Caenorhabditis elegans: one gene and its partner. The protein of the gene in region 2 interacts with the protein of the main gene of each other region in a pairwise test. Each region holds a gene or a part of one and is shown on either strand. Other genes may lie near its edges.

Region 1 (7,882 bases), on a different chromosome or scaffold from region 2:
GACTACAAACTACGAGTTTTGGGCGCTTCTAAGCTACAAACTACAAGATTTGGGCGCTGCTAAACTACAAACTACGAGTTTTGCGCGCTGCTAAGCTACAAACTACGAGCTTTGGGCGCTGCTAAGCTACAAACTACAAGATTTGGGCGCTGCTAAGCTACAAACTACGATTGTGGGCGCTGCTAGACTACAAACTACGAGTTTTGGGCGCTGCTAAGCTACAAACTACAAGATTTGGGCGCTGCTAAACTACAAACTACGAGTTTTGGGCGCCGCTAAGCTACAAACTACGAGTTTTGGGGGCTGCTAATTCATGTTTTCTTAATTTTTTGGCGAATTTTGTTTCAAAAACTGTGAAAAGGTCGATTTTCAGCCCAAAAATCGAAGTTTTTACCATTTACTGACTAAATTTGGTGAAAAACTGTTGAAAAATGGTATTTAACCCGAAAAAAAGTTATTTTTAAGCGCATACTTTAAGATAAAAGACGGTCTGCTTCCAATGAGTGTACTGTACATCTGGCCCAGTCGAGAATCCGGTTTTCTTGTGGCACTTGGAGAACTCGACGGTGAAGAAGGTGACGAAAGCTTGAATATAGTCGCTGCGAGTGCATCTCAGCTTAAAGTCCGATTTGAACGTGAGATCCTCGATTTTAACGGTGTACAAATCAACGTCCTTCAGCAGACAATTGTTGGTGTTGACCTGAGCGTTGTCGACGATATCGACGAGTGGCTCCTTGATCGCGACGTTCTTGATAGCGGACATGTTGAATCCGTAGACTGAATCCCACCAGTGGATCTTGTCCTCCTTGTACTGACGATCCTCGATAGCACAGACGTAGAGACGAGCCTTGTCCGGGAACAACATTCCATTCGGAGCCAACCATCTATCGCGGGCGACGAGCACAGTGTTGAGCATCGACTCGTAGAACAAGCAGTATCCCATCCACTCGGAAATGATGATATCGACCTTCTCAATGCCTCCTGGCAACTCGTGAACGTCCTCTACCTTCGCCTGAATCACCTCGACGATGTGGTCCAGGTTGTTGTCGGCGATTATTTTGCGGGAGGTGAGCGCCATGTTGGAGAATTCCATCTGAAGGAAAAGGAAATTTTTAAAAACCGTTCAAAAAATCCAAAAAAAACTCACCGCGAAAACCTTCTTCGCTCCAGCCTTGGCGGCGAACATGGAAAGAATTCCAGTTCCCGAGCCAACATCCATCACAACTTTGTCTTTGAACAAGTGCGAGTTATGATAGATCGAGTTCCGGTAGGTGGTGGTTCGCACCTCGTCCTTGAGCATCTCCTCGTGGATACCGAAGTGAGCGTACGAGTCGAAGTAGTAGTCCTTGCTGGTCAACTCTTTTGCAGCCGGTGCCGCCACCGGCGCATCTGCGGACTTCCCGTTTTCGGTACTCATTGTCCCGCTGGAAAAAGGTTAATTATTAAATTAATTAATGTGAGATCCACATGCTCTGAAATCCACTTTTAGGGCCAAAATTCATGTATTTTCTTGTTCGAAAAGCTTTTTAATCAAAAAATAATTAATTTTCAGCAAAAAAAACCAAAAAATCAATTGAAAATCAACTGAAAATCATGAAATTCGAGTGAAAAAGACGAAAAAAAAAGGAAAACTCATTTCAAATCAACACCTAAAAATGCGGGCGTTGCGAGACCCAACACACACGAAACCGCATGCGCCTTTAAATTTGTGTCGATTTACGCAGTGGCTGACGTGTATTTTTCCATCGAAATTTTCTTCTTTTTTTGGGAGATTTCTGAATTTAAAATTGAATTTTAAGTTAAAATTTTAATTTTTCAGATAAAAAATCATGTCAGACGACTTGCCAATCGATATTCACAGCAGTAAATTGCTTGGTAACTCGTTATCCATTAATTTTAACCCAAAAAACACCGCAAAAACTTTAGATTGGCTGGTTTCCCGTCGTCATTGCAACAAAGATTGGCAAAAAAGCGTGGTGGCGATTCGAGAAAAGATCAAACATGCCATTTTGGACATGCCGGAGTCGCCGAAAATCGTGGAGCTGCTGCAAGGAGCGTGTTAGTTGGTTTTTTGCCCAAAAAAGACCAAAAAATTGTTAAAAAACTACAAAAAGGCTCGACTACCAAGTTTTTTTTGCAAAAAATCTGATTAAAAAAAATAGTTTTTCACCAAAAACAGTCAGAAAAACGAATAAAATCTCTCTTGTCCGCAGGAGGCTTAGGCTCACCCTTGAACCAAACGGACAACCTTTACCTTTACTTTTTAAATTTACGGAAAAATGCAAAAAATTCAATAACAGTCCCATTAACAGCTCGAAATCCGGATTAGCAGCGCCCAAATCTTGTAGTTTGTAGTTTTAGCAGCGCCCAAAATTGAATTAGCAGCGCCCAAATCTTGTAGTTTGTAGTTTTAGCAGCGCCCAAAATTGAATTAGCAGCGCCCAAAACTTGTAGTTTGTAGTCTTAGCAGCGCCCAAAATTGAATTAGCAGCGCCCAAATCTTGTAGTTTGTAGTTTTAGCAGCGCCCAAAATTGAATTAGCAGCGCCCAAAACTTGTAGTTTGTAATGTTAGCAGCGCCAAACCATTTTTTTGAGAAAAATCCAATTAAATTACAGTTTTTAGTCGTTTTTCGCCAAATTTAGCGAGAAAAATCATTAAAATAGAAAAAATAATAAATTTTTCTGTCAAAAAAGCCGTAATTATTCAATTTTTAATCTAAAAATTGCCAAAAATTCAGTTTTTCACCCAAAAAAGTCAGAAAAACATATAAAATTGTGATTTTTGCGGTGAAAACCGACTATAATTTAGTTTTCGTGCCGAAATTTACGAAAAAAATGCAGAAATTTCGATAAAATTCCCATTAACAGCTCGAAATCTGGATTAGCAGCGCCCAAAACTTGTAGTTTATAGTGTTAGCAGCGCCCAAAATTGAATTAGCAGCGCCAAACTTTTTTTCTGCAAAAACCTGATAAAATAACATTTTTTTGAATTATTTTTCGCCAAATTTAGTTAGGAAAATGCATTACAATGCTATTTTTGCCGTAAAAATCTTCAAAAAATCGATTTTTATTCAATTTTTAATTTAAAAATTGCCAAAAATTCAGTTTTGCACCAAAAACAGTCAGAAAAACATATAAAATTGTGATTTTTGCGGCGAAAACCGACTATAATTTAGTTTTCGTGCCGAAATTTACGAAAAAAATGCAGAAATTTCGATAAAATTCCCATTAACAGCTCGAAATCCGGATTAGCAGCGCCCAAAACTTGTAGTTTGTAGTGTTAGCAGCGCCCAAAATTGAATTAGCAGCGCCCAAAACTTGTAGTTTGTAGTGTTAGCAGCGCCCCAAATTGAATTAGCAGCGCCAAACTTTTTTTCTGCAAAAACCTGATAAAATAACATTTTTTAAAATTATTTTTCGCCAAATTTAGTTAGAAAAATGCATTACAATGCTATTTTTGCCGTAAAAATCTTCAAAAAATCGATTTTTATTCAATTTATTTTTTTTTGACCTGAAAATTGCCAAAAATTCAGTTTTTAAGCTAAAAACTCGATTTTTTTTCCAGATATCAACTATTTCCACTGCTGCCAAATCATCGAAATCCTGCGCGACACGGAAAAAGACACGAAAAACTTTCTGGGCTTCTACTCCTCCCAGCGTATGAAGGACTGGCAGGAAATCGAGGGAATGTACAAAAAAGACAATGTCTACCTGGCAGAAGCGGCCCAAATTCTCCAGCGACTGGCCCAATACGAGATTCCGGCCTTGCGGAAACAAATCTCCAAGATGGATCAATCCGTGACAGATGCAATCAGGAAACACTCAGAATACGGGAAACAAGCCGAAGATGGCCGGAAACAATTCGAGAAGGAAATCTCCAGAATGCAGTTGAAAGGTGTTCATTTGCGAAAAGAACTGCTCGAACTCGCCGCAGATCTCCCCGCGTTCTACGAGAAAATCACCGCGGAAATCCGGAAAATCTCCGCGGCCCGCGACTACTTTCAGGCCTTCCGGGACTATATGAGCCTGGGAGCTGCTCCAAAGGATGCTGCTCCGATTCTTCCAATAATCGGGTTAATTGGAGAGCGGGGGCTTGACGTGACGACTTATGAGTGGAAGTATAACCAGAAGCCGGATAAAGTGGAAAAACCGAATTTCGAGATGCTCCTGACCGCCGCTGAGGACTCGGATGAGATCGATTTCGGCGGCGGCGATGAAATTGACTTCGGAATTGCTGCAGAAGACGATGCGGTTATTGATTTTTCCGCAGTAGTCGACCTAGTAGCAGATGACACTGGAGCAGTCGGCGAGGCAATAGCTTCAGGCCAGGATGCTCTTCACCTTCTCGAGAACTCGGAAGCTCAAAAAGCTGTGAAGCACGAGCTCATCGAGCTTTTAGCCTTTCTCTCGATGCGTTTGGACGATGAAACTCGAGAAACGACGGCCGATGTTCTGATCCGTGGAGCCGAAAAACGTCCCGATGGCGTGGCAGCCGTTACGGAGAAGCGCCTGAAGACGTGGATTACGGAAGTGGAGGGGATTTTGAAGGAGCTGGAGAATCCGCAGAAAGTGCACTTGTTCAAGATTCGTGGATCTCCGCAGTGCGTTTGCAATTTCAAGTGGTTTCGGGAGGAAAACCAACTGAAAATATGACATTTTATTATGATTATGATTAAAAATCGCCTTTTCACTGCAGAAAAACTCCGAAAAATCACTAAATTCGACCAAAATTCGATAAAACTGCCGGAAAAAGTTTTGGCGCTGCTAAACTACAAACTACAAGATTTGGGCGCTGCTAAATCGATTTTGGGCGCTGCTAAACTACAAACTACAAGAATTGGGCGCTGCTAATACAATTTCGGGCGCTGCTAAACTACAAACTACAAGATTTGGGCGCTGCTATTCGATTTTGGGCGCTGCTAATTCGATTTTGGGCGCTGCTAAACTACAAACTACAAGATTTGGGCGCTGCTAATTCGATTTTGGGCGCTGCTAAACTACAAACTACAAGATTTGGGCGCTGCTAATTCGATTTTGGGCGCTGCTAAACTACAAACTACAAGATTTGGGCGCTGCTAAACTACAAACTACAAGATTTGGGCGCTGCTAAGCTACAAACTACAAGATTTGGGCGCTGCTAAACTACAAACTACTAGATTTGGGCGCTGCTAAACTACAAACTACAAGATTTGGGCGCTGCTAAACTACAAACTACTAGATTTGGGCGCTGCTAATTCGATTTTGGGCGCTGCTAAACTACAAACTACAAGATTTGGGCGCTGCTAATACAATTTTGGGCGCTGCTAAACTACAAACTACTAGATTTGGGCGCTGCTAAACTACAAACTACAAGATTTGGGCGCTGCTAAACTACAAACTACAAGATTTGGGCGCTGCTAATACAATTTTGGGCGCTGCTAAACTACAAACTACTAGATTTGGGCGCTGCTAAACTACAAACTACTAGATTTGGGCGCTGCTAATTCGATTTTGGGCTCTGCTAAACTACAAACTACAAGATTTGGGCGCTGCTAATACAATTTTGGGCGCTGCTAAACTACAAACTACTAGATTTGGGCGCTGCTAATTCGATTTTGGGCGCTGCTAAACTACAAACTACAAGATTTGGGCGCTGCTAATTCGATTTTGGGCGCTGCTAATTCGATTTTGGGCGCTGCTAAACTACAAACTACAAGATTTGGGCGCTGCTAAACTACAAACTACAAGATTTGGGCGCTGCTAAGCTACAAACTACAAGATTTGGGCGCTGCTAATACAATTTTGGGCGCTGCTAAACTACAAACTACTAGATTTGGGCGCTGCTAATTCGATTTTGGGCGCTGCTAAACTACAAACTACAAGATTTGGGCGCTGCTAATTCGATTTTGGGCGCTGCTAATTCGATTTTGGGCGCTGCTAAACTACAAACTACAAGATTTGGGCGCTGCTAAACTACAAACTACAAGATTTGGGCGCTGCTAAGCTACAAACTACAAGATTTGGGCGCTGCTAAACTACAAACTACTAGATTTGGGCGCTGCTAAACTACAAACTACTAGATTTGGGCGCTGCTAAACTACAAACTACTAGATTTGGGCGCTGCTAAACTACAAACTACTAGATTTGGGCGCTGCTAAACTACAAACTACTAGATTTGGGCGCTGCTAAACTACAAACTACTAGATTTGGGCGCTGCTAAACTACAAACTACTAGATTTGGGCGCTGCTAAACTACAAACTACTAGATTTGGGCGCTGCTAAACTACAAACTACTAGATTTGGGCGCTGCTAAACTACAAACTACTAGATTTGGGCGCTGCTAAACTACAAACTACTAGATTTGGGCGCTGCTAATTCGATTTTGGGCGCTGCTAAACTACAAACTACAAGATTTGGGCGCTGCTAATTCAATTTTGGGCGCTGCTAATTCGATTTTGGGCGCTGCTAAACTACAAACTACAAGATTTGGGCGCTGCTAATTCAATTTTGGGCGCTGCTAATACAATTTTGGGCGCTGCTAAACTACAAACTACAAGATTTGAGCGCTGCTGACCGATTTTGGGCGCTGCTAAACTACAAACTACAAGATTTGGGCGCTGCTAACCTACAAACTACAAGATTTGGGCGCTGCTAACCTACAAACTACACATTTTTGGCTTGCAAATTGATTAAAAGTGGTATTTTTACATCAAAAGTTTCTGAAAATCAATAATTCCAAACAAAAATCGATATTTTTCCGATTAAAAAATGTTTTCTGACTCAAAATTCCTGATTTAAAGCACGAAACTTCGCATTTCCTTGGAAAAACTGTTGAGAAAATCATAATTCTCAAGGTTTAAGTGCAAAATTTGTACTGAAAAATGTGAAATTACTGCGAAATGCGAAAAAGTACTTCGAAAAACTGAAATTTTGCATTTAAAATCTGCGAAAAAAGGTTTTTTTTTTCATTTTTAACCAAAAATTGGCTAATTCAATTTTGGGCGCTGCTAGACTACAAACTACAACATTTTGGAGCTGCTAAATCTAATTTTTGCCTTTTTCCAGATACGTGGAGCAAGTAGTGGAGGAACTCGAAAAAAAACGTGACATGGAGCATCGTTACAAGCGCCTGCAGACCCTAATGACTGAAAATCAAGAAACCGCCCGCCAATCGGTCACCAAATCCAACGTTGAGCTGAAAACGATTGTGGAGAGCACACGTGTGCTCCAAAAACAAATTGAAGCCGAAATTTCGAAGAAATACAACGGTCGACGTGTCAATCTGATGGGCGGAATCAATCAGGCGCTGGGAGGAAATTGAAATTTTTTTCAAAATTTTTTTTCTTGTTTTTTGGATTTTATTTGATTTTATTTTTAATTGCACCCAAATGATTGTATTTTTGATTGTAGTAAAAATTAATTTATTAATGTTTTTTTTTAACTTTGAGTCCCTCCCAGAAAAGTTAAATTAAAAATTAATTTATTTACCCAGCCAAGCTTCTCGTTTTTTGCTTACTACCTCGGCGAGATATTTGCTTTTTTACTTGATTTAAGTGATACTGTCTTGACGATGAGCGCAAACATAATTTTGACATTTTCTAGACAATAGAACAAGTGCTCCGATTTTTTTGTTTGCAAAAAACTGGAATTTCCTAAGGGATTTTTTTCTAATTTTAGATTTTCCTGTTAGTTTGGCATTAATTTAGACTGAATTTTCAGATTCTGCACAAAATTCTGACCTAAAAGTTATCTACTTTTGAGAATTTTTGTGAAAACTTCTACTTTCAGGCTTTTAGGCCAGAAGCAAATAGTTTCCGGGCCATAACTTAACACATAGGCTTCGGAAATGGAAACCAGTATGAAATTCAGAATGCCCGTAGAATTCTGAACAGATTTGACACC
Region 2 (6,613 bases):
TCCATAAATAAATATATTTTTATCTAAAAACTATGAAAATTCGAAGGAAATTTAAATTACAGTACTGCTTAAAGGCGCATACCTTTTCGAACTCCACAAAAATTGTCGTTCCGAGATTGAAAATCGAATCGTTTTTTGGAGCAAAAATCGCTAAATTTCGGTTTATCTGATCTTACCCGATGCGTCAGCCACTTTCATTGAAATAATTGTTCCCGTCTGTGTTCTGCGATGAATCCCTTAAAATTTATTCATTTTTATAAATTCTTTCTGAAAATCAAAGGATACCTGGATCTAGAACAATTACAGTAACCGAAAACGAATTCATGTTTGGCTGCAATTGGTGGAGAGGTATGTCACCGGACATCTGAAGAAGATAAATTCAAAAAAATTGAGTTATGAAGTTTTTCGAGGATTAAACTTTGCTGTGAATATTAATCAAAATCTACAGCAGAAGAGATCCGAGCACAACGACCATCAAAATTTGCGATCTATTGAAAAGTAATTGAAATTGGGCTGTTTATGAAAGCTACCTTCTGACTAAAAAAACAATTACAGATTTAATTTTAACAGAATAAAACACGTGCAATACATTCATATTTCAGTTCTCAATAAATTAATTAAACAAGTTATACGAATTATTTCGATATTATGGCATAATTGACTGTTTCAGACTAGAAATATCATTAACGAGCATTTCTTTGGCCACTTCGTCGCCCTTGTTCTTGATGCAAGTAACTACGCCTTTTTGGCATGCCTGAAGTAGGTCGAAGACATTCTGGAAATAGATATTCTGATAGATATATAGATGTTTAGTATTCTATTACCTCGGGGCATAAATCCTTAATTTGAGCAACAAGTTGAGAAACAAACTTTCCGCTGGCAGTTGTTGGGCGTCCAGCCTTGGCTAAAATATAAAGAACAGACAGAAGAAGAGTTGTTGCTGGCTCCGTTTGAGAACAAAGTTGCTCATGAAGTTCCGCTGTAATTTTAGCTCCAACTTCGGCTCTGAAAAAATTTGTTTTTTTTTAAATTTTAAATGTCACTTTTTTTCTAAAAAAAATATACTTGAAATTGTGAAACAATTTCAATTTCGATCAATAATATTTAAAAATTGCAAAATTATTCGTATTTCGCTTTTTTTTTCAAAAAATTCGAATTCAGCCCTGTTTCCAGCAGCTGCGACAAATTTTGAAATTTAAAATTTTAGCTTATTTTTTTCCAAAATTTTAACTCACTATAAATAATTTTTAGATATTTTTTGGAAAGAATTATGAAAATAATTTTACCTTCCTTTCTTGTCGACTTTTTTCAGTGCCAACGAAGTTGCACTTGGAGCCGAACAATTATAAACAGCATCATGAAATTTATCCAAAGCATCATCATCTGTAGATTTCAGCGACGCAAACACTGATCGAATCGGATCTCTGAGCATTTCAGGAAGGTTTTCAATTGTTTCTTCTCGCTGTTTTTCCTTCAATTGGTGTGCATTATCTACTCCCATAACATATGAAAGCAACGCCAATGCAATTTCATTTCCAACTGTTTTCAGAAGATATTGCCGAAGATCTGAGCCAAGGGGATCTGAAATTCAAAATAAATTATTTTTCTATTCAGTTTTAAAGTTTTTTCTACCAGCAAAAGTGGAAGTAGCCGTCTCAAATGTGTTAAATGAATCGTAAAGTTGTCTACACTTATCGCCGATTGCAGACAATGACTTTTTGGAATTAGCGACGCTGGCAACCAATTGATGTGCTTGAATGTCTTGAACTTTTTTGCGAAGTAGCGTTGTTGTCTGAAACATAAAAATTATTTATTTCTGAAGAATCCATGAGATGGACCTCTTGATTCAACTTTTCCACAATTACTGAAAGAATTTCTTCGGGTACTGATTGACTTTCACGAAGCCATATTTCCAGTTCCTCACTATTTATGGAAATATTCGCCGACAAATTGGATGAAGTTGAAGGAGCAGACGATTTCGAACCACCTTTCACACTTTTTGCGTTTTTCTTTCCTCCTTTTCCACCTTTCTTTCCATCTCCCCAGTCATCCGTCTGAAAAATTAAATAGTTTTTTTTCAATTCAATTTGTATACCTCTTCTTGAACTTTCACTGCTGCCTTGGCTCCGCCTTGTTTCTTTTTCTCCGCTTCTAATCGATCAACTTCCTCATGTGCTCTGACGTCCAACAATTTGTCAATTGAACGCAGAGCTTCAGTCAAAACTGCTCCCTTGAACACAAAACCCTCTGCAAAATGCGAATCTTTTTCCACATTTGCAACTTTTGACCCGATTTCATCCTCATCAGCAGTATCTAGAGGAAGATTTAGAGATTGAAGAGCCAAATGCACGTCGGATATTCCGCTTTTTTGTAAGTCTTCTGAAAATTTAAAAATTCAATTAAGTAATAAAATTCAAAACAATTAAACAAAAAACCTTGAACAGCATTAATACATTGATCCATGAGTTCTTTTGTCATAAACATAGATCTCATACTGACAAGTTTTTTGAATTCAGATGATCCAAGAACTTCTTCGAGAGCTGGTTTTGCATCTACTCCTAGAGTTTTTAGAGTTGAAATTTCTGGAATTTAAAGAAATTAAAAGATAAACAAATAGATGATCATACCTAAAAATTCATTCTGTCTATATTGATTCAAAACGCACGACTTCACAAGATGATCGTACATCATTGGACGATACGAGCAGGAAGGTGATGTACGAGAACCGATTAAAGTACCAGGAATTTCGCCGAGAGATTGAAGATTTTCGAACGCAATCCAAAATCGTTTCGGTGTGAGACCAACTCGTTTTTGGATAGTTGAAATAGGAGTGATTCTGTTTGGAAAAAACATTATTTGAACGGCAATGGAAAACAGATTCTCACTTAGTTAATGCAATCAGAATAGCGCGTAGAACCAATTGTCTGGCATTCAAAAATGAAGAAGTATAGATCGTATCCCCATCAACCACTCCTTGAAAATCAGAAGATCCCAATTTTTCGATTAGCAAGGATTGCAAAAGTTCCGATGATAGATTCCAGTGCTTGCAGAGTGCTGCAGTTGTTTGATTTCCTTGCTCATCGAGAAGTGTACGCAATTCGTTACGAAGACGATGTACGTATTCACTGAAAATTTATATTTTTTGAGTGTTCAATGAACAAATGATTTTGTCGATTTGCAATTTGCAATCGACACGTAACAATAATGAAGTCAATGTGTTCTTCTTTGTTCTTTTCCGAACTTTAGGCCTATCTAAATCACGTGAATAAACTTGACCTACGTCGCGAATATCTCTGCATTCGAAATTGTAAATTCATCATCAGTCGAAACAATCAAGCGCGAAGTCTTCTCGATATGATCGAAATCTATGTTAAGAGCAACTGCGATATCAGTGAGAGAAGCACGTCCTCCAGCGGCTATGCACTCGTTTTTTATCTGAAAAATGGATTGATGAACTTGAAACTTTGGAAAATATTCAGCCTGTGTAATTTTCCAATTATTCTGCCAAAATACGGTAGCCGGTCTCGAAGCGACATTATTATCTTATACACAAAGAGCAACGCGCCTTTAAAGATTACTGTAATTATTCGTGTGTAGATAATATTTTCCAGATTTTCAAAACGTAAATGACACATTTTTGCTTACAAATATTTATTTAACTACTTTTTTCTGTGATACTTTATAATAAAAATTAATTGTTCTTCTTTCATATTTATTCCTAACCGTAAATTTATCCTCAATAACAAATCGAAAACCAAGGCTGCTGTCAAAATGAAAACATGATCACATGTTTTGCTGCTTCCAGTTTATTCTGTACTCACATTTCTGCATTTGTGTAAACATAAAAGTTCATTGCGGTCAACAAAAAGGCGGAGTTTGTGAGAAAAAAAAGAAAGAATAGATAGACATTTTTATTTTCTCAAACACTCAACAATGCCCAATCCATCTCCCGCAATTCTAATGCCAAAGTCTATATTAAAGAAACCTGATCAAGTGAGCCTAAGCTGTTTGGAATGTTAGTATTCTTTTAAAAAAAAGGAAATTTCAGAGCCAACACGAGTCACCATCAAATTCTCCAGTTTCTCCATCACCCCAAGAAGTTCCACGTGGCAAAAAAGAATGGTGGCTTCCATTTAATATACCATTTCATAATGAGATTTTTCGAAAAAATTCAGGGTTCTGAAATTTAAGAAACGACTACATATTGGTCTCATCTACCAATATTTTACTTTTATTTTCATTTTTTTTTTTTGAATAAAAAATTTCTGCCCTCTCACCTCAGTTTCCAAGTGGTTTTTAGTTACATAACTATGCCCATCTCTAGTATAGACCACGTCAATTCGATGAGAAGCGATAAGTTTTTGAAGGACTTCAATGCAATTCACCTCGGAGAGCCTTAAAGAATAATTTTTTAAAATTATTCTACAATTGAGAATTTTAGTGAAAAATTGTTAATACAGATGAGATAAATAATTAAATTTTTGATACTAAAACCTTATTAATTTTTTGTTGTTTTTAGGGCAAATGGTGTATGTGCTATCATTTAGTATCAAATATATAAAATGGCCAAGAATCAATGATATTTCTCACTTTTTAGATGATTGTGACAGTTGAACTCTCTGCAAATCTGATGCAAGTTTCTGAATATCTGCCCAGGAAGTCATCTGAAATATTTACCACTTTAATATATCAAATGAAAAAGAAAGAAAAAGAAATGAATCGATGGATTTTTAACCGAACTTTTAAGAAAGTGAACACAAATACGATGCTATACACTTTTTATTCCAATACCATGAACCCATATTAAGGCAATAGACGATTTTAAAGACTTCAACCCATTTGTTAAAATAAAATGTACATGTAAATAAATAATCACATAAAATTAATTCAAGCATTCCCCGCTTCTTCGTTCTGATTTTTCTCTTGTACAATCGCCGAACGTGCATCTTTGTCAAATCGATTGACGACTTCTTGTAATCCGGTGAGATCAGCTTGTGAGAATACAAGATTTTCCGCATAGCTCAGGAAATATTTAGCATCATGATAGATTTGTTGTTTGATTTTATCGTCATCAGTAACCGTGGAGCCAGAATCAGTTGTGGTTTTCCGTTTGAATCGGGATAAAGAAGATCCTGTAGCTTCGACACTATCCAGCACCTGAAAACAAATATTTTGTTGCAATTTGCATCAATTGGAGTGGTTTATAAACTTAGCGGGAAAAAAAATTATCTCATGTGTCCAAAATAAACGTTACCTCGTTCCCTTTCCCCACGAAATAATTGAATGCTGAAAGATTAACTTTTCGAACAATTTCATCGGTGTGAGGATGTTCTTCGCAGCTGAAAAAAATACGTACAAAATTTTGTGGAAGCAATATAAACTACCATAGTTTTTCTTTCAAATTCTCAACCATTTCAATAGCTGTAACAACATATTTGGAATGCGTTGTCGGTGGTGATTTCTTCGTCCATCTGTATTGTTTAGGAACATCGGAAACTTGAGCAATTTCTTGATGAAGAACTTCGGAGAACATTTCAATAATACTATCATCAATTTGAACACAAAGACTATCAATTGATCGACCATGCTTTGTTAGGCATTGACCGAATGGAGCGGTATCCACTGTGATATCACTGAAAAAATGATATCTAAATGTAAGTAAGTATTTAAATAAACGAACTGAAATTTTCCCCAAATTGACTCCAACGCGAAATCGAAAACCAATTGATGAAGATTTCCAGTATCCGAGCGGAGAGTAACCATTGAAGTCCAATCTCTTTTTTCTTCCATGAAATAACTAGAAAACAAAATATTTTTCGTGAAGAAGAACTTTTAATCTAACTTTTTCATAGTTTGACTCCACGAGAAATGCTTTAGCAAAAGCTTCAATGTGAAATCCCATAATTTATCAACAATAGGAGGAAGATACACATCATCACTCCACACATGCTCAATTGCTGTTATAATTGCTCTTGAAACTCCGCAGTGCAGCTGAGGAGTGTTTTCTCGATTTTCAGAAGTTTCTGGCTCGGCAAACATTTCGGGAGACATCAGCTGATCGCACTGTTTTCCGAATCGATGTGTTTCTAATTTAAAATAAACTAATAAATTGAATTTATCCCTGATCGACTTAAGCATTGCACGGCAGGTATGAGAAGATGGCCAATTATCGATAAATTCTTGAGTGAGCAAGAAACATTCATGGAAAAGTCGTGTGTCACTTGGGACTGCGACGGCTCCCATACACTGAAAATACAAATAATTATGAATATAAAAAGTTATGAACGGAAACCTTATCAATAAATGTCAGAATGAACGTGAGAAGGGTTTCGTCCAGAAAACGGCGGATGTTTCCACGAAAATGTTCAGTCCCCATTTTTTCAGCCCAAGTTTCACGCATTTTTTTGACGCTTTCGAAGACTTGTTTCAAGAGTTTCAACTGATTACTTTCGTCGTGTTTCTCATTTACAAATTCGGCATACAAAAGATCAGAAACCAAGAGGGCAGTTAGTGAATGCGTACTCTCCGTTAACGATAAAATTGAATAAATGAGAGGAAGATTTTGACAATCACCGGCGGCACTTCGAACTCCTTCTGCACAGAGAACCGCTTC

The links. The genes of interacting proteins can lie anywhere in the genome.
Region 1: the proteins of ufl-1 (region 2) and cdkr-3 interact in a two-hybrid assay, tested with the Caenorhabditis elegans proteins (one study listed by BioGRID).

What each region holds. Positions count from the first base shown.
Region 1 is NC_003283.11:20,268,288-20,276,169, forward strand, and holds cdkr-3 (CDK5RAP3 protein homolog), read left to right. Parts: upstream 1-1,819; 5' UTR 1,820-1,829; coding exon 1,830-1,875; intron 1,876-1,926; coding exon 1,927-2,058; intron 2,059-3,566; coding exon 3,567-4,602; intron 4,603-7,045; coding exon 7,046-7,301; 3' UTR 7,302-7,445; downstream 7,446-7,882. Other genes in the region: prmt-1 (Protein arginine N-methyltransferase 1), read right to left, coding at 473-1,093, 1,148-1,417. UniProt on the Caenorhabditis elegans protein: Substrate adapter of E3 ligase complexes mediating ufmylation, the covalent attachment of the ubiquitin-like modifier UFM1 to substrate proteins, and which is involved in various processes, such as ribosome recycling and reticulophagy (also called ER-phagy).
Region 2 is NC_003282.8:7,032,196-7,038,808, forward strand, and holds ufl-1 (E3 UFM1-protein ligase 1 homolog), read right to left. Parts: upstream 4,665-6,613; coding exon 4,591-4,664; intron 4,396-4,590; coding exon 4,278-4,395; intron 4,277-4,277; exon of another isoform or gene 4,184-4,276; coding exon of another isoform or gene 4,049-4,183; intron 3,994-4,048; coding exon of another isoform or gene 3,934-3,993; exon of another isoform or gene 3,928-3,933; intron 3,436-3,927; coding exon 3,281-3,435; intron 3,126-3,280; coding exon 2,886-3,125; intron 2,837-2,885; coding exon 2,628-2,836; intron 2,583-2,627; coding exon 2,436-2,582; intron 2,380-2,435; coding exon 2,096-2,379; intron 2,055-2,095; coding exon 1,839-2,054; intron 1,793-1,838; coding exon 1,633-1,792; intron 1,582-1,632; coding exon 1,287-1,581; intron 1,006-1,286; coding exon 825-1,005; intron 776-824; coding exon 647-775; 3' UTR 501-646; downstream 1-500. Other genes in the region: nabp-1 (OB domain-containing protein), read right to left, coding at 177-236, 286-364; C06G3.3 (uncharacterized protein), read left to right, coding at 3,934-3,993, 4,049-4,183; cogc-2 (Conserved oligomeric Golgi complex subunit 2), read right to left, coding at 4,888-5,157, 5,255-5,339, 5,385-5,633, 5,681-5,797, 5,843-6,246, 6,293-6,613. UniProt on the Caenorhabditis elegans protein: E3 UFM1-protein ligase that mediates ufmylation of target proteins.